Linked DNA regions of Mus musculus: region 2 is reported to be linked to region 1. The links are microRNA targets in miRTarBase. Many come from high-throughput screens and were not tested one by one. Region 1 holds a microRNA gene; the other region holds the end of a gene's coding sequence.
The links. The annotated mature microRNA mmu-miR-344f-3p reads CUCUAGCCAGGACCUGACUAC and lies in region 1 at 8,248-8,268, opposite strand. An mRNA with a match to its seed (bases 2 to 7 or 8) in the 3' UTR can be bound and repressed. Matches are read on the target gene's strand: a 7mer-m8 pairs with bases 2 to 8, a 7mer-A1 pairs with bases 2 to 7 and ends in A, and an 8mer does both.

Region 1 (17,552 bases):
AAATATACAGACAACAGACTACAGTACTTAAACCTACATACAGAATGATTTTTGAGTCTGGAAAATTTTTAAAATAAACAATGACTTTGTGATTCTATTGAATTTTATATACCCTGATGAGATATGAATGAATGTCTGTTCAGCCCAGTAGCAGGATCAATGACTGAACCACAACTACAAAAACAATTTCAAATAGCTTCAGATCAATGAACCAAATTGTTCATTTTCTGTTACAAGATAATAAGTAACATAAAGACATCTGCATTACAAAACACTCATCATAGAATGTGTATAATTATTCAGGGAAAGTGCATAGAAGAAGATCACTGCCCTAAGAGCAGGCAGCTCTCCCAGAGCCTCCTTTACCCAAACAATTATTCATTTCAAAGTACTTGATGAAACTTACCAAGTTCTTTATTTATTGAATGCTATGATCTTTACTTGAAAATCCAAAAAAAAGAGGAAAGAAAAGAAAAGAAAAGAAAAGAAAAGAAAAGAAAAAGAGAATAAATATCATCTCCTGGTAATATGAGATATGTAGCTACAGGAAGACTTACTAGAAGCATTGGTGTTCTACTTTTTTTTCTTCATGTCTTAGGAACTAATTTAGAACATGTCAAGACAGTATTGGCCTTTTAAAATGTTAAGAATTAATACAATAATAATATGTTAAAATACAAAAATATCAGTATATTAATCTTGTTGTATACAAAACACAACCTCAGGCAAAGATTACTATTCCACAACATATACCATTGGCATAATTGTCAATCCTCACATTTTGTGAGTATGAAGTTTTGCCCATAAGTAATCATTACATGGGTACAGACATTGGCACCTAAGTATTTTATTCTAGTCTGTATTGACTAGAGAAGTCACAGTAAAATATCAACAGTATAAAAGACTTTATCAAATGGCTCCAATTTAAATGCATCAACTGATAATAGAATAAAAATATAAATTGTATAACTAATATCATAATTTCGTGTTATTTCCACATATATTTGAATATAAGCTTACCATTTATTGTAAGACGATTACAGCATACTTACACGTAATATTTCCGTTTCTCTGCCCTCTCAAACTTCTTCAATACGGCCCATAAAATTGTCCATCCTCTTTTAAACTATTCTGTCTTGAACAGTTCCTTAAAGAAAGCCAAACATAAGCACTGAGTTTCAGCACTAACCTTCTCTGTCTACACTGTCTTTGTATAAATTCCCACCATATAACACTTAGAGTATCACCACTTGATAACTTTTACAACTCAACCAGACCCACATTAAAAATGATCTCTCTAATCAGTGCCATTAACACTAGTAAAGGTCTTGTAATTATACATTTCGTATATGTTGGGCTATAATAAAGCTATAGAAATAAAGAAGTAGAGATACAATATAAACAATTGCCCGTTGGCAATCATCATATGAACAGGATAAACTTCTGTGATATAAGGTGGATTTTTGATTTGTTTCTCCATTTTCCAGGAGTTATTTATGAGATGAATTGGGTGGGGAGTATCCTGAAGCTCCTTGCATGCAAAGTAAATGATGCTAAATATTCGCTGCTCTGATATGACAAGTGAGGCATGTGGGCCAGGCCTGCTGTCACTCTTCTTCCAGGGTCTAGGCAACAGGAGCTAATTTTCCAACTGAATAAATGACTATGGTAGAGATATACTATAGTTATGTATATAAATATAATAGCCTTGTTCATGTGGGTCCTCTTGAGGTCCATTTTGTATTCACGGTGTCCTGTACTCCTTTAATTGATAGCTAGTCCTTCTCTGGGAGACATGCAGTATCTTGTGTTATTATCTGCTTCCACACTCCATAGAGAACAGTCTTTAATATTCCCCTAATAAGAACTTTGGACTCTCTGTATAAATACAATTGAAGATTGGACCCCAATACTACTGAATTGGCAATTCACTATGTGATGTAATCCTGGTATATGAGTGGTAATAAAACACATGGTAACAGTGAACTCATATGGGCTCTACAAAATGTCAGAACATTTATTATTACATAGTATCTATAAACACATAAAAGTAAGATAATTAAACTTAAAGAAGGAATAACATATAAGAAAAATAATAAAGAAAAGAAAAAAATAAAAACCTACTGTCCTCTATGGAGAATGGTGATGTTTGCTTTCTTTCACTCGTACAACAGTCTTTGTATGTGTTGGTTACTTTAATGTCAAGTTGTCATTTGATATTGCCAGAGGAGAGATAGGACCATAATTTTAAAATGTCTCTATAATCTTTGTCTGTAAACAAAATTACAGAGCACTTTCTTAATTAGTGATTGATTTCATTGAACCCAGGCAATTTTGGCCCTAGGTTGTATAAGAGTGTAGGATCAATAATCTATGAGAGTAACCCAGTAAGCAATACCTATTTATATCTTTTGCATCAACTTCTACTTCCAATTTCCTTTTCTGTTTGAGTTTGTGGTCTGACTTCCTTCAATGATATACTATGATAATGAAGTACAAATTAACACACCCAGTCTTTTTCCCTAGTTGTTTTGCATGTTGGTGTTTCATTACAGCAACACTACACCTAACTAAGACAGAGATTGGTGCCAAGAGTGAGTTATTGCTGTTACAGAACTGACCATGTTGTTTTGTATAAGATTTTGGAAGGAGACTGAACTCTTGGGAAACTAAAAACATTGCATGCTGAGTTTACAGTGAATATGGCATAGGAGTTTTTAAGATAACAGGTGATGGTGTCCTGGCTTGTGATGTTTCTGAGAGAAGTAAAGACTCTACAAAGCCATTTCTGTGATGAATCTTTTGTGTCAGATCAGCTTTAGCTGATGTATTGGCTGTAACCAACATGAGACCAGGATCACTAAAGTAAGATTTTTACTGTTCTAGGCCTATGGATGCTGAAAATCAGCTGTGATTAAGAATAGCACAATACCCTCAACAGAGGAATGGATACAGAAAATGTGGTACATTTACACAATGGAGTACTACTCTACTATTAAAAAGAATAAATTTATGAATTTCCTAGGCAAATGGATGGACCTGGAGGGCATCATCCTGAGTGAGGTAACCCAATCACAAAGGAACCCCCAAAATATGTACCCACTGATAAGTGGATATAAGCCCAGAAACTTAGAATACCCAAGATATAAGATACAATTTGCTAAATGCATGAAACTCAAGAAGAACGAAGACCAAAGTGTGGACACTTTGCCCCTTCGTAGAATTGGGAACAAAACACCCATGGAAGGAGTTACAAAGACAAAGTTTGGAGCTGTGATGAAAGGATGGACCATCTAGAGACTTCCATATTCAGGGATCCATCCCATAATCAGCTTCCAAAGGCTGACACCATTGCACACACTAGCAAAATTTTGCTGAAAGGACCCAGATAGAGCTGTCTCTTGTGAGACTATGCTGGGACCTAGCAAACACAGAAGTGGATGCTCACAGTCAGCTATTGGATGGATCACAGAGCCCCCAATGGAGGAGCTAGAGAAAGTACCCTAGGAGCTAAAGGGATCTGCAATCCTATAGGTGTAACAACAATATGAACTAACCAGTAACCTCCCCCACCCCCTGCCCCGGAGCTCGTGTCTCTAGCTGCATATGAATCAGAAGATGGCTTAGTTGGCTATCATTGGAAAGAGAGACCCATTGGTCTTACAAACTTTATATGCCTCAGTACAGGGGAAAGACAGGGCCAAGAAGTGGGAGTGGGTGGGTGGGGGAGTGGGTGGGGGAGCATATGGGGGACTTTTGGGATAGCATTGGAAATGTAAATGAAATAAATACCCAATAAAAAAAGAACATTAAAAAATAAAAAAAGATAGTTCATCACCAAAAAAAAAAAAAAAAGAATAGCACAATAGTGAAGTTATATCAAATTGAGGTAAAGTCTTCTGGAAAGTGTTTCTTAAATGTCAACACACAGAGTGGTTGGAAAGGTTGCTCAGTGGTTATGAACATAGAATGTTCTTCCAGAGGACAAGGGTTCAATGTACAGCACCCACATGGCAGCTCACAAGTGTCTATAACTCCAAGATCTAATACCATTACCAAACATACAGGGTAAACACCAATACACGTTTAAAAAAAAACGAGTCAACACACAGATGTGTTCCATGATCTTTTAAGGTGATTCCTCCTGTTAGCAGCCAATACCAGTACTGTAAATGTCATACAGCTCTGGATTTGAAGGCATGAGAGCTGTAGGGCAAGTGTGAGCTGAAAGAATGGGACTGGAATAGGAGTGAGGTTGGTAGGTTTCTAACCCCCTAAAATCACTTCATAAAACTACAGTCTTATCTTGACAGCAGCAAGAATAAGGACTCCCTCCCTAAATTCTTTGCCTGAATGCTGCAGGGCATATAGCCCCACAATCCCCACCTCCATGCTTCCATGCTTCCATACTTTTCTTCTTGATGATAATTGACTAAACTTTTGAAATATTAAGTCAGACAATGAAATATTTTCCTTTATTAGATTTGTCATGGCTATGGTGTCACTTTACAGCAACAGAAACCTCAAGACAATGTATAATCCAAATTGTTTCTCTCCAAGTTGCTTTTGGTAATGGTATTTCATCCCAGGCATAATAATCATAAACAAGACAGTAAGTAGGTAGCATATTTTAATACATGGCAGCAAGTAAAAAAGGCAAACTGTGAAGAACAAAAGGCTTACCCATTTTCTCTTGGTAGACATCTAGCAAAGTATAGAATTTAGACTAAGGAGTGAAGTTATGTCAAATTTCTCATGTGTTGTGGGAAGTTATTGAACTAGCCATAGTATAGCCTAATAGAAAACTAGTACTCTGAATATACAAATTCAAATTTGTATATTAATCTAATTAACTAGTTTTTTTTCCTGAGAGATACCATTTCTTAAGGAACACCATAAAGAATCAGCTAGAGTACCTTGTGCATTTCTTGAATAAAAATGATTAAATGAAATTTCAAGAATTTACAAAATTAACTCATCCACTATTAGTTATGCAATTTACTACTGGACCATTTAAATTACTATTTTATGTAATAATGGATGCTTGTGATTTCATGCCATATAAATATGTGAACATAAACTCAACTTGGCCTTTAAAATTTGGTTTCTAGTTCAATGTCTTTTCCAATATTATCAATATGGTGATCTAGTTATCCACAATTAACTAAACTCAATTCTGATGAAATCTGAGGAGAAAGGCATATACAAATATTAAGTGACACTGCAAAGCCTCTAAGCAGAAATGCAAGGGAACTACCCCTCAGGTACAGGGTGATAGTGGCTCCTATTATCTGTTATATCTATTATATTCAAACCAATCACCCAATGGAGGTTTTGAGACCTTTTATAGATTCCAATAAATAATGTGTCCCTTTCTACCCCACTTCTCTCCTTCCTAATTTTTCTACCATGTTGAAAATGTTGAAAGTTTATATCTTGGTACTCACATCATATGTACATATAAGAAGCACAAATTGAAATAATTGGATTTGAAGAAGAGTGAAAATATGTATAGAGAAGGATGTAGAAAGAAAGCAAAGAGGACTATGTTATGATTAAATAAAGATTTCAAAAGAAAAAAATTGAAAGGAAATTTTTATATAAAAGTTATTTCCTTAAGGATATGGCCAGTCCTCTTAACTTGCCTGATTTCAAAACTGGAGTGTCCAGACAAGGAAGAGTAAACAAATATATTTATCACACAGCAGAAACAATATTTACCAAAAAACTGGTTGTGGATTAGAACATAGAATCTGTGATACTCTTGATTCCAGCTTTACAGTTTTTTTAATATTTTTATTACATATTTTCCTCAATTACATTTCCAATGCTATCCCAAAAGTCCCCCATATCCTCCCCCTCACTTCCCTACCCACCCATTCCCATTTTTTTATGCTACCTGATGATTATTGGCTAGAAGTCAGCACATGACCTGTCACAAAACCACAAGCTATCGCCAGTTGATTACTGCAAGCAAATGGAAAATTAAGTTTCCTCTAGTGGAGCTTCATCGCATATGCAAATTAACTTTAAAGGTCCGAAACTCAGAAGTAGATCGCACACAAAAAAGTACTCAAAGGCATTTTTGAGTTTCTTTTTCTTATAATACTCACTCAGTGTTTGTTTTGTTTTGTTTTGTTTTGTTTTGTTTTGTTTCTGTTGTTGTTGGTGGTGTTTTCTTGTTTATTTACATGTCCTTTTTTTGTGGGCATGCCTATAATGGATAATGGTTTATGGTATTGTGTTTTGGTGCCACTTATTTTTGTGTGAACATGTGTGCCTCTGCATAATTTCATTTGGCTATTTTACTTCTGTTTGTTTCTTTCGTGTGTCTTACTGTGATTTGTTTTATTTTAATGATTGCTCAGTAGTAGTAGTAGTAGTAGTAGTAGTAGTAGTAGTAGTAGTAGTAAATTCATGTCTATATTCTCTTTAAAGAGACAAGGAAAAAGTGTAGATTAGATTTGGGTGGGTGGGATTTGGTATGAGACTGAAGGAAAGGCCATTCAGATACTGCCCCATGTGGGGATCCATCCCATATAGAGTCACCAAACACAGACACTATTGTGGATGCTGGGAAGAGCTTGCTAACAGGAGCCTGATATGGCTGTCTCCTGAGAGGCTCTGCCAGAGCCTTATGAATACAGAGGTGGATGCTCATAGCCAACCATTGGACTGAGTGCATGGTCCCTGATGGAGGAGTTGGAAAAGGGACTGAAGGAGCTGACACTTGGAGGGGAGCAATAGTGTCAACTGGCCAGATCTCTCATAGCTCCCAGGGACTGGACTGCCAGTCAAAAAGTACACATGGAGGGACCCATGGCTTGGGCCACATATGTGGCAGAAAATGGCCTTATTGGACATCAGTGGGAGGAGCAGCCCTTGGACCTGATGGCGTTTGATATCCCAGTATAGGGGAATGCCAGAGCACAAGGGCTGGAAGACAGACAGAACTGGATGGGTGGTTGAGGAAGCACCCTCATGGAGACAGGGGGAAGGGAAATGGGAAAGGAGGTTCCCAAGGGGAGACCTGGAAAGGGGAAAACAATTGAAATATAAATAACAAAATATCCAATTTTTAATAAACAAACAAACAAATAAATAAAACAAAAGAATAAAGTCCTAAGTAAGGTTAAAAAAAAGTTTGGCTCAGGGAAAACACAATCATATATTGTATGAAATAAAATCTACCTTCAATAAAACAATACCACCCATTAAAAAAGTGAATGTTTCAGCTCTGACCTTTCTCTCAGAGTTTTAGTTTGCCAGATAAGAGATATATGTAGATAGCAGTTCTCCTCATATTAGGTCCATGAAGGGAGTCTGAGGAACAGCAGCTCTCCTGTCTCTGTTATATACTGAAGGCTGGGATGCTTATGGAATAGTACCTCTCCTTTCTCTGTTATATACTGAAAGCTGAGATGCTTATGGACCAGTAGCTCTCCTGTCTCTGTTATATACTGAAAGCTGAGATGTTTATGGACCAGTAGCTCTCCTGTCTCTGTTATATACTGAAAGCTGAGATGTTTATGGACCAGTAGCTCTCCTGTCTCTGTTATATACTGAAAGCTGAGATGTTTATGGAACAGCAGCTCTCCTGTTTCCTGTTATATACTGAAGGCTGGGATGCTTATGGCAGATTAAAGCCAAAATCCAAGGGTAAATCATATATATATATGTCTATATAAAATTTATACTTCTCTCATACAGTGTATCATAAATGCAACCTCCCCTCCCTCCCTGTTCCCTGTCTCCTCTGGAACATATGTTCCTCCTTTTCCCTTCAGAAAAGAACAGGCTTCCCATTGATACTAACTAAACATAGCAAAAAAAAAAGATGCAATAATACGAGAAAACAAAACAAAACAAAAAACCTTTAAATCATGGCTGAATGAGGCTACCTAGTAGGAGAAAGCAAGTCCCAAGAGCAGGGAGAAAGAGTCAGAGACATCCTCACACTGACAGTGGGCAATCCCACAAAACCCCCAAGCTTAATAAGCAGACACTTGCAAAGAACCTAGGCTCCATGACTACTGCTTCAGTCTCTATTAGTCCCTCTGAGCAATATATTTTTAAAAAAGAGCAATGGATAAGGAAGAAGGAACACATTTCCTAAAGAGGAAATAGAAGCAAATAATTCAATAAACGTGCAGACTCTTTTAGCAAGTACCTGTCTATGCTGGTTTTCCATTGGCTCTGTTTCCTGGCATATCTTAATATGGGTCCTCCTTCACTGCTAAGTAGGTTGTAGTCAGGTCCTGGCTAGAGCCTGGAACCAGCTTAGAGCTGGACTCCAGCCAGGAGACTGACTGGCAAAACCCCTCTCTTCAGGGACTTATATTAGCACCATTTGTCTATGATTGGCTGAGTGTGTGCATTCAAAATAAGAATGGGCTTAGGACCAATCAAGTGAGAGATCTCAAAACTAGCTATGTAAATCAATAGCCTTCTGTAACCAGGGAGATTTCTATACAAGCTTGTATGTATCGCCTCTCCTCTCTGTGTGCTGCAGCAGGCAGGAACAGTGAAATGAGAAATAATAAATAAATGCAATTTTACATGGTTCCACTTGACAAAAGGCAAAAACAGCCAGTGGTGTGTGGGGGCTCTGAGCATGTATCTGGTTGCTTGGGAATAGATGCTCTTGTAAAAGGAAGTGTCTTTGTCTGTCTGGACCCTTCTGATTATGATTTTGAGCTGCCAGATGCAGCTGCTGCTGATGCTTTCTACCCAGCTGCGCCACTGTTTACAAGCGCAGTGATTATAAGAATGAGCCATCACACTAGATTAGAACTTTATGTCTATTAGAATGATTAGACTACAGAAAAAGCAGATTAGATTTAAAAAAGAAATATATCTAATGAACATGAAATGGCTTAAAGTATAGTCATTGTAAAGAAATAATTTAACAGGTAGTATGAAAATTTATTTTAAGACAGGTCCATAATTATTCTCTGCCTCTGCCTCTCTCTCTCTCTCTCTCTCTCTCTCTCTCTCTCTCCCTCTCTCTCTCTCTCTCTCTCTCTCCCTCTCTCTCTCTCTCTCTCTCTCTCTCTCTCTCTCTCTCTCTCTCTCTCTCTCTCTTTCTCTCTCTCTCTCTCTTTCTCTCTCTCTGCTTGCATTTGTGAACTCATACATTTCTGGTGTGAGGAGTGAGCATATTGTGCATCCAGGTAACAAACAAAAGACAAATCTACATTTTTCCCCACTAGCAGCTTCATTTCTTAAGACATATTTTATTCATTATAAATATTATGTGTTTTTAATACCTACCCTACATTCTATAATCTAAAATCCTACACTATCTCTACTATTACTACTCTATCTGTACTTATATGAATCTCTCTATTCTCTTTATGTATGTGTGCATGTGTTTGTGCATGGCTGCATTTTCATTTCTCTCTGTCTCTCTCTCTCTCTGTCTCTCTGTGTCTCTCTTCTCTTTCTGTCTGTGTGTGTGTGTGTGTCTGTGTGTATTTCTGTGTATGCATGTGTGTGACTACCTTCTTATTCTTATTGATATAATTTAATTGCATTTCTTCTTTCTCTTTCTTCCTTCAATTTTCCAATAAACCACATCACAATATCTTTCAAATTTATGTCCCCCTTTTACTAATTTTTGTTGGATGTATACATGCATATACCTATATATTCTTAAATATAATCTGATTAGTAAGTTTAATGTTACTTCAATACACATTCTCAAAGGTGATCTTCTGTTAAAACACAAATAATTTGTGTGATCTTCGCTGAGAATGGCCACATCTTCCTTTTCCAGATTTCCTCAGTTGCATGTTGTTCTATAAGTATGGTGGAGTCCTTGTGAACACTTTCCCATCAAGTTTAGCTCAATTTTGGATGTTCAGGTTACTGAAATTTAATTGATGGAGCTTTTAAAATTATTCATAGAAACATTATTATAACAAAACTCGCTGATCACCTGGCTCTGACATTTATTTTTGCTACTTCACTTTATTGTACCACAAACATTAGGTGTAAGAATATTTTGTGGATAGATCTACTATGAACTTGCAAGCTGTAATTGAGGAGGCTTGTGGAAGTCTATGAAGGTGACTCTAGCTAAGAATCCTAGCAGTAGGGGATATGGACCCTAAAGTGAATACCTCTTATAGCCAGGGAGGACTTCCAGTGAAGAGATAATGAAACTATCTCACAATAAAAACTTCAACCCCAAATTTTTCCTATCTACAAGAAGTGCAGGGACAAAGATTTCATATTCACTGGGAGAAAGACAAACCAATGCCTGGCCCAACATGAGATCTATCCCTTCGGCAAGAACTAAATCATAACACTATTAATGATACTTTGTCAGGAACCTAGTATACAGGAATTGAGTATAACTGTTCTCTGGAAATCACCACTCAGCAGCTGACCAAAACAGATGCAGATATCCACATCCAAACATGAGATGGAACTCAGGAAGTCTTGTGAAAAATTTGGAGGAAGTATTGAGGAATCTGGAGGTGATAGGGACACCAAAAGAACATACAAATAAAAATAATGGGCAAGCTTCCAAAGGAGAAAGGCAATCAAAAGTCATATATAGCTATCATGGCTGTAAACCTCATCAGTTAACAGCATAGCATAATAACCTCAAGTGTGCAGTGGCAGCATACATAACTTTGTGGCATCTACTAACACTCTAATTGATAATATGTCCTGTTCAGAGGGAAACAATATCCTAGTACTAGAAACATAGTTAATTACTTGGTGCTACTGAAGTTATGGATAGTGGAGAATTGTCAACCACAAACTTATTAATCAAATATAACAACAAAATATTGTGTAATAGTCTAATCTCATAACAATTTATAAACATTTGTCTGAATATGCTAAGATAAATTTACTCATCTCCATTCATAAAGAAACTCCTCAGTGTAAAAGATGATTATTTCAGAAAAACCATAACCAGTCATACTATAGAGTTGTACAGCCCATTCTCCCTCTCTTCTTAATATCAACTTGTCAATTTAGGCTATGTAAGTGTTCAAGGATGTATGGATCTCTAATATAATCGTGGTATCTTCTGAGGCCAAACATTACTGAATAAAACAAATTCTCCCTTCTCCAGCAGTCCATCAAATGCCAAAGATATCTAAAATAAGAGTGGGACTTCCTGAGGGTTCTATCACCCCTGCTAAGATTTTATCTTCCTTGATCTATAGAAGTTTTGTGTATGCAGATTTAACTGCTTACAGCTCATTTGCATAACTCTGATATTGTACCTACTACCTTTGCTTAATTTGATACATTTATGTTCACCAAATTTACCAAAAAAATAGTTTGGCTGGCCAGAAAAACTTAGCAATCTTAACTGCATGCCATGGAATTGCATGCCAAAAACACTATACGTGGATTTTTACCTGTGTATTCTAGCAATTAAATCAGAAGCTCATAATTTCAGAGGAATTATATTGCCCAACGGGCCACCATTAGACCCAGGCATAGTTGACGTTAAAAGAAAAAAGAATAACCCACTGACTATAATTCAAGGACCACAAGAATATTTGCTCTACATATTCCAAAAATCACTTTGTACCACAACACTGAAGATCATCATCTCTGAGATATTCCAAAAGTTTCAATGTTGATTCTCTGCAATCTTAGAAAATAGGAAAGTACCTGCATCATTCTTTTGTCAGCCACAGGTAGTATAATTACTCTCCACTAATTTCTGCATCACATTCAAGACAGACAAGCTTCTAACAAAATATTCTTTCATATTGTCATTTCCAGTAAGGTTGATTTAAGAATTTCTTACAATATTAAAGTAGAAAAGAGAGTCCCCTATGTCTCTCATTTTTATATTTCATCTACTCCTTACCTCCATGCTATGTTGAAGTGAACACTAAAGATAAGAACAGTACAAAACCTATAGGTAAACTTCAATATTTCATCAACTCCTCTCAAATGTCATTATTTCACAAATCATAGCCCTCATCATGATAATAGAGTTTTAGTTATTCAAAATTACACGTTAATTGTTCATGATAGAGTGTAATGTGAATGATAATCAGTAGTCTTATTATATGATCAAGGAAATGTGTTATACCAAACACTGTAACCCTAGTCATCTGTTCACAGACAGTGAGATTACCAGTCTTGCAAAACAACCTACAGCGGCCAACTTACTGAACCAGTATGCTTTATAATCACATTCTAAATATATATCTTTATATCCACAGATTAATGCAACATTCACCATCAGCAAAACAACTTCATTTTGCAGCACAAAGAGACCTTTACAGTATGCCCCTGGTCAAAATTCATCTGACTTTGGTATGCCTAATAACAACAGTTAAATTTAAAACCATCATCAGCATCAAGCTTCAGAGTATTATGGAAGAGATAGAAAAATACTGTAAATCCAAAGGAATCCTTGAATGCAGAAATTAGTCATTAGATATACATAATTATATGTTTGTAACTATAAAACACATAACAATATGCCTCGAATTTGAAATCAAATGGGACATATATGAGTGTTGCTGTGGATGAAAGATGGAATGGTATAAGTAATCATTAGATCATATAGACATGTATGAATACATGAAAAATACTTTAAAAATTCCTAAAATGTATACACTTCAGAATGTAATTTAATGGATTCACCTTACAAAAGAGGATAGTTCAACTAAACATTTAAGCCACCAAGTAAAATGTATAGTATTGGAAATGGGTTATTTTTGATTCATTTATTAATGGAGTCATATAGACTCTACAGCTATCACAGGTTACAGCCAAGGATATCTTCTACTTTATAGAACCTAATTGTGAGGCCTATTGCTGGAAATGCAGCTTATTTATCACATTATACACAGAGAAATCGTGCTCATGAAAATTAGAAGCTTTACTATTTCTGACTAGAAATCCTGGTATTGGGAGATACTCTACACATAACTGGTGGAAAGAAGAAATCATCAATGCTACCCAGATACAAATGATGCAACCTACATTAATGATATGCTTGTATAATACACTGGTGAAATCATTGTACAAAAGTCATTGGAGTAATCTTTCAGTTTTATGAATTTATGATGTAACCCACAAAGCAGAACCAATAGAGAACATTGTTACTGTGAAAAACAAAAAAAAACAAACAAACAAAAAAAAAAAAAAACACCTGAGACTAGATGGGACAAGGCTTGTGGAAAACCTGTTAATATTATTTAGCTAAAGGAATCTAGTATTAAAATTCCTCCCATAGATAAACATGCTCTTCAATAATCATTAACAAAGATCCTACTTGTAGTAGATAGGAAATAACATAAGGATTCACAACTGTACAATAGCCTAAGTATGAGAAACTTTGAGCACTTGCTCCTAAATGAGATGTCTTAAGCAAACATATCAGTTCATGCCTCAAAGATTTCAACAGAAAATGGGATTAAGAAGACTGTCAGAGCCAAAGATAGTGAATAACTCCAAAGAAAAAAGAATCTTCTAGACAAGTACACCTGGTAAATTTGAATTCACAACGTTTTTTATAGCAAATAAGACTTGCATGACTTAAATTGTATTTCTTAATCCTCAAAGGCCAAGCAATACACTTCCTCAACAGTAGAACCTTTTCATTCAGTTCTGTTTTTTCCTTCTGCCATGACCTTTTAAGGCATTTTTTATTATATAGTTTCTTAATTTACATTTCAAATGCTACCCCAAAGCCTCCTATGTCCTCTCCCTGCCCTGCTCTCCAACCCATCCATTCCCACTGCCTGGCCCCGACATTCTCCTATACTGGGGCATATGATCCTCACAATACCAAGGGCATCATTCAGTTCTTAAATAAAGCCAACACCTGCTGCAAACATCTTTACTCTTTTAGAAACTGCTAGGTTTTCTGTGGCCAATAACTACTAGGGAAGTAACCTATTAATAGCCCTAGAATTTCCAATGCACAATGTTGTGGCTTCAACAAATATCTGCTTGTATTTTTTTCTGTACCTTTTAACAGAATCTCCTCTCCTATGCACCATTTGTAAAATTATTATCAATGCATGATACTTTAAATGCATTCCCATGTTTATTAAATGAGTCTTCAAAGCTGCAAAACATTCAAAGATTACACAGTGATAGCTACAATAAAAGGGGGATATACAGTATATGGACAGAACAATGATGCAAAAGTCATTACACTATAAGTAATAATAGGACTCCTGATTTAACATTGGTAAAGCACTTGGAACATCCACTGCCATCTCTTCTGAGCAAGTGTCAGCTTATCTCAGGAGTTCAAAGCTAAGAAGACACCGAATCAAATATAATCAATATTTAGCACAGCGTTTAATCTTAGCATCTATTATTTCTTCCTCTCATCACCATTGGATACACTAGCATGGACAGGAAGAACTAAGTTTTCCACAGAGAACCCCTTCATTTTAATAATAATTGCTTTAGTATATCTGATTCCTTTTTCTCTGCCCTACACAAGGCAAACCACAAAGGAGATCCTGTTCTCCAATGCTACAGCCACTAGTTAGTTGTATTCCCTGGGGTAGCAGGATGGCTCAGTTTTTATACTGTGATCTTAGTTCCAACTGCAGCCTACAACTCATGATACCTGAATACCGGTAAAGGTCCTACTCATACAAATTATTCCCACCCATAATACTTCTTTTCACAGAAGAGAATGAAGCACTGATTAATAAAGAGACATAACTATACTGAGCAGAGATAGGCTTATCTTTGCCTTCTATTCAATTCAAGGTGATTGTTTAAAGCCATAAAGTTCATGAGAAAAGTATTTTGTATCTTCAGTTTGTTTTTTTTTTTCAGGAACCTCCCACATTTGACTTCACATACCATCCATTTCCGCGCTCTTCTGATTATTCTTCCCTTTCGCTCCTCCATGAATCAATCTCACTTTATCTTTGAAGTTTGGTGTAACTATATAAGTCTGCTAAAGCCTTTCCAACTTTATAATAAAAACAAAGAGTTCATAAAAACTAAGAAAACTCCTTGCCAGCCTCAAGAACCTTGCTTAGTACTTGCTTTCCTTAAGTTAGTGGTGAACATTATTTTATCTGTCAGTCTCAGTCAAGTGGATATCAATTATTTCTTTCCTCATACCTAATTCCCTCAGTAGTGCTTTTCCCACTCTACTGTCTTCCATTATCTAAAATCCATGGGGACTTTCTCAAGTGTTGGAAGAATTTATTATAGATCATAAGAGATAATTAATCAGAAATTGATTACCCTCTATGGTCTCCATGAAGACTATGTCCAAAAGGGGATATATGGATGTATTGCTCAGTTTCTTTGCTTCCACAGCTCATACACTGATCCAATCTGTCCCCATATCCAGTGAACACAAAGGACAGGCTGTGGGTGTTCTTTGATTACTAAAGCTTTTCTGTAATTCTAGCAGTTTCAGTTTTGAACAGTCTTTGATAAAAATTTACTCAGACACCTAAACGTAATGAAGAGTAATGTCTGCATATTGGCTTAGGGTTTTTTTTTTTTTTTTCATTTAACATTAGCAAATACAAGACTCAAGTTGTATCTTTTACTTTTCCTGTCATTTCAATCCTGTTACTATAAGATTCCAATGGGTTTCAGGTTTTTGTGTGGTAGATGATGGAAGAAAAGTTAAATCAATAGAGAAATTTGAACAAGTTTCTCCTTCCTATGTACACATACTCTCAGATGGCTCTATTTTGTTATTGTTAGTGCATGGTCCAAAAATCCAAGTTGGAGTGATAAGGTGGTCAGAAATGTCAGCACTGTCCACAACCTTTACAGTTTTGTTTTTTTTTTTTTTTTTAAGAGTAAAACTGCCTTTTGCCTCCCAACCCAGAAGATATTTTTTTCATTGATTTCCAGTCCCAGATACAAGTCTCCTCCCTGAATTCAGCATGGGAATTGTTCACTCAGCCATCATCAAGCTCACTGCTCTATGGGAACACAATCATCCTGTTTCTTCTTGTTATTGTGGGTTCTGAGTAACTGGAGATTCCACCTGTACTAAGCAACGTGAAAGAGATCTTTTACTCAGATGAGGGTTGCTGGAGTGATTGCTGGATAGTTAAGGCTACATACAAGTACTTCTGCATGGTCTTCAACTGGGTATATGACCTTGAGTATAGGACTTTTAAAATCCTGGATAAGAGTTGTTGGTATAAACCTCAAAGAATCTCTTTTTTACCCCGAACAAAGCAGCCAAGCTTTCCTTGACAGAGACTGTCTGTGCCTTTCTATTTGTAATAGTAGCTTCTGTTCACACTGGTCTCTTTTCTGCCCTATGTCATATTAAGCTTCATCAGAAATCTAAAAGTTGTTGGGAATTGGCCTTTTATACAGCTCTGTGTATCCAGATGCTGACAATATCCAGACATGGGCATTGTTGTGAATATTGAAGAATCCCATATACCAATGTTTTATATAAAATGTCCACCAATTATGTCTGATTGGTTAATAAAAAGATGAAAAGTCAGTGACTGGAGAGCAGAGTTATGAAGGCTGGACTTTCAATTACAGCCTGGGATCCCAGGGAGGAGAGCCAGGTAGAAGTAGTTCACCATGAGCCAGGCTAGGATCCAGGAGGAGAAGGGCCAAGAGGTGGAGGAAGAAGGAAACGGTCACCATGAGGGCAGGCATAAGGAAAATGCTCCAAGGGAGTTCTCCATTGGAATAGAAAGCTGGAGCTGAGCATGTATCTTAACTCTGGCTATTTAGCAGAAAGCCTCATTTTCTGTCTGTGTCCTTTTGATTGTAAGTTTGTGCTGCCAAGTACCTGTCAGTGGCAGCACCTCATCTTTAGCCTCTCTCTCCCAAACTAGCAGCCCCCCAGAGATGGTGTTTCAGTAAAAGACAGAGGTAGCCAGCAAGGATTTCCTTTTAGGCCCAGGGCAGGAAAATGTGGGTGAAAAAAAATCCAACAATCCCTGATCTCAAAATTTCACCAATCCATGAGTTTCTCAACCCACCCAAAACACACACACACGCAAACCTTTGAGTAGGTGAGCAGGAAACTCACCCATCTCTGAACCACCCACCAAGCCCTGAGCTCCCCAGGCTCAAGACTTAAAATCCCATCAATTCTCAATCTGGATATCTCTTCCCTGAAGAGCTCCACCTCCTAAGGAACCTGATTTAAGCACTGTCCTTTAAGCACTCTGCTGCCCACACCCAGAAGCAGAGTGCAGCCATCCCTGGATTGGTCGCTCAACACCTTGGACTCACCAATAAATCTCTTTCTTCAGATTTCCTGCCTAGTATGATTTTTGTTTGAAGAAGTCAAGAAGAAAAGAATCAATGAAGAAAAAAAAGAAGTGTGTCTGAGGCCCCTGAGCTCCTCAGCTCAGCTGGGAATGCCCTACCCTGGGAGCTGCAAGGCCTCTGATGAAGAGGATTTCTCTCAGTTATGTAGTTCTTGGGATGCTGTCTCTCAGAATGTCCTCCCACAGGAACACTGTCCCACCTCAGAGGTCTAAGGTTCTTGTCCTCCTATATTTCAAGATTCGCTTCTACTGGGACAGTGTCACAACTCAAAGCTGTGTGTTTCCTGGGCCCACATATCTCAGGATGCCTTT
Region 2 (8,535 bases), not on the chromosome of region 1:
TTGTCCACCCTCAAGTCACAGGCTCCACTCACTAAGTGGCTCCAGCAGCCCTCACTTCACCTTCTCCCATTCAGCATCTTGAGGAGCTGGAATGTCAGGCTTGCACCCCAGGCCTAGGGAAAGAGTTATGCTTATGAGTATTTAGCTTACACGTCTTGTCTGTTCATCATGTGTGCCTGATGCCCATGAAGGCCTCAAGAGGATATGGGACTGACTGGAGACACTAGGTGTCAGGAATCGAACCTGGGTCATTGAAAGAACAAGAGTTCACAACCCCTGAAATATGAGATATCTCTAGCCTCTTCTGTGGTGTTAATTTGTCTTGACACCAGGTCTTCAGTAGCCTAGGCTGGTGACCTGGATGGAACTCTTGGTTGTTTTGACTTGACACCCAGAGTGCTGGGAAGAGACGTATGCAGGATTTTTTTTTTTTTTTTTTTTTTGGTTTTTTCAAGACAGGGTTTCTCTGTGTAGCCCTGGCTATCCTGGAACTTAACTCTGTAGACCAGGCTGGCCTTAAACTCAGAAATCCACCTGCCTCTGCCTCCCAAGTACTGGGATTAAAGGCGTGAGCCACCACCGCCCGGCTTCGCAGGATTTCTTAAGACAAGAAATCACTTAGTGCACACTGTCTGGAAATCTGACCATACTGGGTTATGAAGCACCGAGATGTATGTGCTGGGTTGGTGACAGCAGTTTTACCAAAAGGCTGTGGCTGATCTGGCACAGCTCTTACTTAGCATGCAAGAAGGCCCAGGGGCCATCCTCGGCTCCATGAACACCAGGCATGGCAGTGGACAGCTGCATGAGCACTTGAGAGACAGGGGCAGGAGGTTGAGAAGTCTAAGGTCAGACTTAGCTATATAGTGAGTGTGAGGCCAGCCTGGGCTATATAAGAACTTGTCTTAGAAACAAACAAAACCAGGAAGGAAGGAGCCCTGCTCTAGCTGGGTATGGTGGCCAATAGGGGCCGTGAATACTACTTTAAAAGCATTAAAGCTGGGAGTGATTTATCAGACCAGCTGAGAGAAAACAATGTGCAGTTTCCACCCAGAAAACACTTGAATGTAGTGTAAGGGTTTCTGCTTGTTAAAGACTCTCCCAGACGTGCAAGTGCTGGGGGCTGAGACGAATTTCCCTTGAGCACGGAAAGCCTTGAGGAAGATGATGAGGAAGGAGCCAGGCGTCCAAGGCATAAGAATAAGGTTTAATGCTGCACCCATCAAGGCAGCCCTAGTGTCTGTCAACATGGAAGCTCCCTGAGCGGTGCAGACCTCTCCAGTGTCCAGCTTCCTCAGTGTCTTCCACAGGACTACGCTGTGTCTGAGGCCTCGGCACATGGTACCTGGGGGAGGGGACAAAGGGTGAGTAAGCTAAGCACACTGAACCAGCTCGGGCAGCCCAGGGCCTCTGAGCTCTGGGAGTGATGCCAGCAGTGTCACACTACAAGGCCCTTGTCTATAAGATGGAGTGAGAGGGTTGGAGGAGCAATAAGTAGGTAGGAAATGAGTTCCATCCACCCCCCAGCAGACATGCAAAAAGTCAGGAGGCTCACTGGCCAGTCTACCTAATCCAGGAGCTCCAGTTCAACAAGAGACCTGTATGGATGGATCTGGAGAGGTGACCTGGGTCCAGTTCCCAGCAACCACACACAGCAGCTCATAACCACCAGACTTCAGGTCAGATGCCCCCTTGTGGCCTCTGTGAGCACTGCAGGTACAGCCCCCAAACACACACACAAACATGAACCTTAAAACACAAAGTGGACAAGCTAGAGAGATGGCCAGTAAGAGCCTGCTGTGAAAGGACCAGGAACTGAGTTCAAATCTCCAGTAGTACATCAAAGCTAAGCATGGCTATATATACTTATAGTCCCAGCACTTTAGGGACAAGGCCGCAAGAGACAGGCTGACCCTGGGAAGGTGCTGGCTAGCCAGGACCAAGCCAAAGTGGCACATTTCTGGTTCAGTGAGAGACTCTGATTAAAGGTGATAGATAGTAGAGACAGAGGAAAGCTCCCATCTCAGTCTCTGGCCTCCCTATGTGTGCATGTGCACATACATACTTGCACATACACACATATACACAAGTCAGGTGGTCTAAATAGGACTGTACTCTGGGCAACAAGCTACCAACATTAGCAAAATAGCCAGTTTGGTGTGGTTTGATGGGGACACAGTGTTGCATGCCCTCAGCATGCAATGTATTCCAAGAGATACAAGGAACAAAAGAGATGATGGCAAGGGACAAAAGGAATTCCTGCTTAAGGTCCAGGCCACCCCAGAACTCCCAATCCATAGAAGTCAGGCCAACACTCAGACTCACCATCGAGGCCTGTGGTGGGGGAGGGGCTGCCTAATCGTCCTTCTTAAACTTGCCGTTGATGTAAGGCACCCAGTCCAGGATCAGCCGCCAGTCCGTGGCCCACACCAGTCCCACGGCACCCACAGTGCCCCACATGCCGGCTGTGGGAATCCTGGTAGGAAAGAGTGAGGCTGTTAGACTCTGCTGGTAACTTAGCCTTTGAGAACCTTCTCCCATCATATCCCATGCTGATGTCAGTCAAGGGCCCACAATATTCCCTCGACTTTGCAGGGCAGGAGGTCCTGCATAACCCCCACCACCAGACTTGGGAGGCTGAGACAGGAGGGCTGCTTTGAGTTCAAAACCAGATTCACAGGCCAGGCAGGCTAGCACTCACCTTTAACCCCAGCACTTGAGAGGCAGAGGCAGGAGGAGGATGTCTGAGTTCAAGACAGCTAGGACTACACAGAGAAACTTGTCTCAAAACAACAACTACAGACAAAACCAGCCCAAGCTACAGACTGAGATCCTACTTGAAAAATAAAAACGTGGTCACCAGGCACAGTGCTCACACTATAACCCTAACCCCAGCACTCTCTCGGAGTTTGAGGCCAGCTCAGAGGGAAAAGGCCCCCTGCTACCAAGCCTGTCATGGTCACTGGAACCCAGGTCGTAGGGAACCCACACTTTCAAGCTGCTGTCTGACTTCCATGCACATACTGTGGCTGGCACTGGTGCCAACAAACACACAGACATGACATATAAAATACAACACACACACATACATGACATAAAAACCAGGGTGGAGGGGAGGCTGTGGCTGTTGCTCAGTGGATAGAGAGCTTGCCTGACACACAGGAAGCCCTGGCTTCCATCCCAAGCACATGAACCAGGTGCGTTCATGAGTTCAAGGCTATCTCTGGTCACAGAGAGAGTTAGAAGCCTGCCCCGGTTCCATGAGACCTACATGAAAGTAAAACTAGGAGAGTGCTCGAGGCACGGGTTGGGAACTGAGCCTGGCTGAGCTTGGCCGAGCTGTGCCTGAGTCCTTGACTCTCAGCACAGCCATTATTACTTTTTGCCTAGAGTTTTTTGAGACAAGACTCAATATGCAACTTAAGCACACCTAGAACCTGTGATCCTCCTGCCTCAGCCTCCCAAGCCTTTGGATTACAGGCATGCACTATCACGATGGGCAACATACTGTGGTAAACTTGTAAACTCCTGTTACATCGCATATGTGACCGTGACAGCTGGCACTTGGCTTCCGAGGACTGGATGTCAGTGAGATTCTTGTCTCAGGTGAGTGGGAGTTGGGGCTGATTCATCAGAAGACCCTTCCCTGGGCAGCAGGACCAGGCTACTGGGGGCAAAGTTCATCCGCTGCTCTGTTTGGTTATGCCCAGTGGGACCATGTGGATACTGCTCTGTTTGGTTATGCCCAGTGGGACCATGTGGACAGTTTGTAGACAGCCCATGAATCTGAACTACACAGAGCACCAAGATACCAGCCACTGAGCAACAGTGCCAGAACCTTACCTCCTCTGTCCCCTGCTAAGACACCCAGAGTGTCACCTCCAAGCCTCACACACAAACGGAATCTCCCACAGGTGAGCCCTCTCCCTGGCCTCCCAGCAGGTGTCTTCTGTCTGATCCATGCCACCCTCCGCTGCGGCCACTAATACCATACAGCCTACCCAGAAGGGTCAGTCATGGTATAGCTATACTCATTCATTCATCATTCATGGAGACAGGGTTCAATGTACCCTACCCCGACCTGGAATTCACTATGTATCAGAGGATGGCCATAAACTCCTGGCTCTTGCCTGCCACCACCCCACCCCTCTACCCCCAGTGCTGTGACAACCCCTGTGTGGCGCTGTGGATGGACCCTGAGCACCATCTTCTGGAGACTTCCGGCACCTGTGCGTGTAGTACCGGTTCTATGTACTACACGCACACAAACCCACACATATACATATAATTGGAAATAAACTATTAATAAAAATTAAACTGGAGAAGATGGCCCTTTTCCCAGAGATCCCAGGTTCAATTTCCAGCACCCACATGCTTCATAACCATTTCTAGCTCTAGTACCAGGGGAGCCGATGGCCTCTTCTCGCCTACCTGGATACTGGGCACGTATACGGTACACAGACACGCATGCAAAGAAAACATTCAGGTGAGGGTGGGTGCCCGCTATTCTAGCGTTCAAGAAGTGTGAGGCAGGATGATTGGTGGGAGTTCCAGACCAACTTGGGGTTACAAAAACACTGTTTAAACGAAAAAACGAAGTACACGAAAGACTGCAAAATCAAAGCCAAAGGCTGCAAGTCGCCAGGCTGCACGTCGGAGTTCCGAGCCGTAGGAGTCCAGGGTACCCACCCAGAGCCGCACACAAGGCTACCCAGGTCAAGCTGGGGAAACCCAGGCTTGGAGCACCTCAGACACCGAACGAAGGCGATTGCAGCTTAACCTCGGAGCTTCCACCTGCACTGTGTCCCGCAATACTCTGCCTGTTACAGCCTCAGGTTTCCCCAGTCCCCAGAGCACACGGTGGAATGGCGGGTGACCTCCTCACCAGTTTCTGGCCAGTTCCCGGTAGCGCGGGCCTAGAAACCTGCTCAGCATCGCTGCAGGGTCTCAATACTCAGGGTCACCCCGTTCCGCTGCCCTGGAGCACTACGCATGTGCAGACGTATAGCGCATGCGTGAAGGCGATCGCTCCACCTTTTCCGGGGGTGGCGCCGAAGACATTGACATCTACTTCCGGGGAGGAGAGAAAGACGTTACTGATCCGCTTCTGTCCTGGTTCTGTGGTTGCAGTGGATCCCAGCAGTAGCTCCATGCACACTGGAACACCGGGGATGGGGTGGGGAGAGTGTGTGTGACTTTGACCACGTAGTACTAATCTGATAATAACTTTAATAATACACATACTTAGGTGTTTTTGATATGGGGGTCTCCTATATTCAGGGCTGGCCGTGAATTCCTCAGACTCCTGCCTCCACCTCCTAAAGTGTAAGCCTGGGGTAGACAGGGAGTGCTGGGACTGGACCCCAGAGCCTTGGACACGCTAGAGGAGCGTTCGTCCCACTGAGCCACAGCCCTATCTTTGATCAATTTAAACCAGAGGAACTTGAGCACAGACCCTGAAGGGGAAAGGCTCGAGTTGGGCCACACCTTTGAATACATTTGAAGTTGTCGGTGAGTCGCTGAGGGACTCCAGTCAAATGGCAAGTGCCCTCTTAACCTCCATTTGCTTGGATTTTTGCAATGGGACACCTTTGGTGCACAGGCTGACTCTCATTGGTTACCCTCTCTGCTTAAGTCCCTGCTTTGCCTGATCTCCCAGAACAGGCACATTTTAACTACTCAGCTAACCCACTAACTGCACCCCTGACTGGCAGAAAGAAGGCGGGCACATCCTCAGATACACATCCCTCCGGAAGGAGCCTAGATAGAAGGTCTGTCCCTTGTTACTTCAGCCTCACTTTTGAATGGTCAGCGACTGGCATATGGGTGTCTGCGGAGCCCTGGACCCCACAGGCCCAATGTATGTAGGTTCAGTTATGCCACTGACCTTAGCCAAGAACCAGACCACAGAGTTGCTACATCAGGGGCGGGCCTTATTACTAGGTTGGGGGTTCCATGCCCTTAGGATTGTGGAGCAAGGAAAATTCTTTGCCCTCAGGAGACCATGTCCTCTGGTTGACACAAAAGGATATCAGGCTGAAGAGACAGTTCAGTGGGTAAAGTGTGTGTCATATAGCATGAGGACCACATAAACCATGTGTGGTGGCCCACACTTGTAACCCCTGTCAACATAGGATGACAGACACGGGATCCAAAGGCTGAACTACTCTGGTCACCTCCAGGTTCAGCCAAAAGCCTGTCTCAGGTACGGCTAGGAGCACTGCCTGTTCATTCATGTTGGGTTTGGTTTCCAGCACCCACATGGCAGCACCCAGCCCCTTGTAGCTCCATTTCTGGGAGATCTGATGCCCTCTTTTGACATCAGAGCCTGCACACACGTGGTGCACAGATAAATATACAGACAAAACATCCCATAAACTTTAAAAAAAGCAAAGCTGGGTATGGTGGCCACGTGTTTAATGCTTAGGACTGGGGAGACTGACAGACCTGGAGCTGAGTTAATACCAGCCTTGCCAGCATGGCAAGCTACAGGCCAAACACACACAGTGCAACCTTAAAAAAGGTCATAAGGCAGAGGGCCTCAGTGGTAAGTTGCCTGAGGACCCAACTTCATAGAGATGTAGCTACACTTCTGTAAGTCTAGATCAGGGAGATGGAGACTGTCAGAGGGTGGCCATGCACCCCCGGGCATAGGGACTCACAGCCACTTGGGCCCAAGACAGGTCAATTGCTTCCCAAAAGCCTGAAGTCTGGGTGATCCCACACTCTCCTGCCTGTTTGCCACTAAAGCAGAGATAAGGCAAGGCAGTCTTGTATTCATTCCAGCTGTTCCTCCCATGGCTTCCAGAAGTGGCAGGTTCCCGAGCCAAAGTGGTAAACAGATTATTTGCCATAACAAGGCGTTACCATGGTTCCGAACAAAATCTTCCTCACTAGAGGCTTTTGAGGTGTTTCAGGAAGTGTAACTTGTGGGGACAGAGGTCAGCATGGAACAGGCATGAACAGTGTTGTGGTGTGTCCTGGTGGTCTCACCATTATCCTACCAAGAGACTAGGATGCCACTGGGATCTGAAACAAGGGGACAATACTTGGGAGGGGACCCAAGGACCAGTGTACAGATGAGAATGTAGGAGGCAGCTGTGGGAGCATAGGCTTGTGTGATGTGTCTGCTGACCCAGCTTTACAGCTGGAATCAACTCACCCAACCTGCTGGGCACACCTGTAGGGGACGCTTGTGCTGGGACCCCCTAAACCTGGGCCACACCTTCCGGTGGTAGCCCACATAAGAGGGCATGGAAGGAGAATGCTTTTGCTTTTTGCCTGCTTGCCCTCACTGGTGTCAGAACCCTGTTCTTCAGGATTCCAGTGCAGACCCAAGACCAGCATCCCCTAGGAATCCTACAGGACTCCAGCACTGAATTGGGACTGCTGGCACACTGAATAGCTACAGTATTCTTGGAGACAGTCGCTTTGTCGCTGTTGAGAATACCCAGGTCATGGCCTGTAAGCCATTCTAATATCCTTACACACACACACACACACACACCTTATTCTAGCAACTTTTCTTTAGAGGTCCCCTAATGCATGACACCCAAGTATTGAGGACCATGAGGACGGCCCACTTCACATGAGGAGGGCATGGTTTAGCCAAGGAGCACATGCCTGGCACAGACAGGCCTTGGGTTCATGTTCATGGGAAGAGGAAGGGGCAAGCATCTAGATCTTGTGCCAGGCCTCAGGGTAGGGGTGACCCTTAGATCAACACTGGGTCTTTTGAATGCTACTTTAATAACCTTGTAGACCATGAAATATGACGATAAATTCTAGAAACAGAAACAGACATGAGACTTTTATACAAAAATTTGTTGCTTACAAAACATACGGAAAAAAAAGCTAAGGGAAAAAAAAAAGACACGGAAGGCCTCGTTCTTGCTAACTTTTGTCTACATTTAAAAAAAAAATCTGAAAACTAATGTTCCTTTATTCTCCTTTAAAAAAACGAAAAATGCTTAGGCACGATGTGCTGGTGGCTCTGAAGTAGAAGCCAGTCCCAGGCCGCCCTGCCAGGGCACGGTCCGACTCTTCCGTCTTACATAGTTAAGGCATCTTTCTTTCCTTTTTGAAAAGGGAGCATGCTGCTTTGTTTCCAGTTCTGGTTAACCGAGAGGAAGGAACTTTTCTGCTTGGTCACTGGGGCCAAGCAGGGAGCTGTTCAGTGCCACCCTCCCCAGGCCCTGAAGTGTCCCCAGAGCCCTCTCTCTGCTCATGCTTCGATGGAGACCTGTCTCATCCAGAACCGTCCTGATGCACCCCGGGCAGAGATATGGTGGTCCCTGGTCCAACGAAGAAGCTGTGACGGCTCACAGGTGCCCGGCTGGGTTGTGGGCCTCACCCAGGCCCGGGTGGGCGGCTGACAGGGCCAGCTGTGGGTCCCCGACCACGCCAGACACCTTCTCCTCCTCCCTCCGCTTCAAGCAGGCTGCTTTGGGGTTCAGGTTGCGTTCTGGGGGAGTGGGGAAGGAGAGAGCAGTGGGAGACGGTCCTCAGGTGGGGTCAGAGAGGGGCGGGGCTGTG

Region 2: the mRNA of Tcf3 is a reported target of mmu-miR-344f-3p. The part of its 3' UTR that is shown has no 7-base or 8-base seed match.

Annotation. Positions count from the first base shown.
Region 1 is chr7:62,037,936-62,055,487 of GRCm38, forward strand. Mir344f (microRNA Mir344f) reads right to left here and starts at 8,313; the gene lies at 8,246-8,313.
Region 2 is chr10:80,401,811-80,410,345 of GRCm38, forward strand. Tcf3 (transcription factor 3) reads right to left here. Exons shown (of 19, transcript NM_001164149.2): 19 at 7,731-8,464. The coding sequence ends at 8,322. It overlaps Uqcr11 (ubiquinol-cytochrome c reductase, complex III subunit XI), which reads right to left and starts at 5,011. Exons shown (of 3, transcript NM_025650.2): 1 at 4,886-5,011; 2 at 2,326-2,476; 3 at 1,187-1,345. The coding sequence starts at 4,935. The coding sequence ends at 2,356.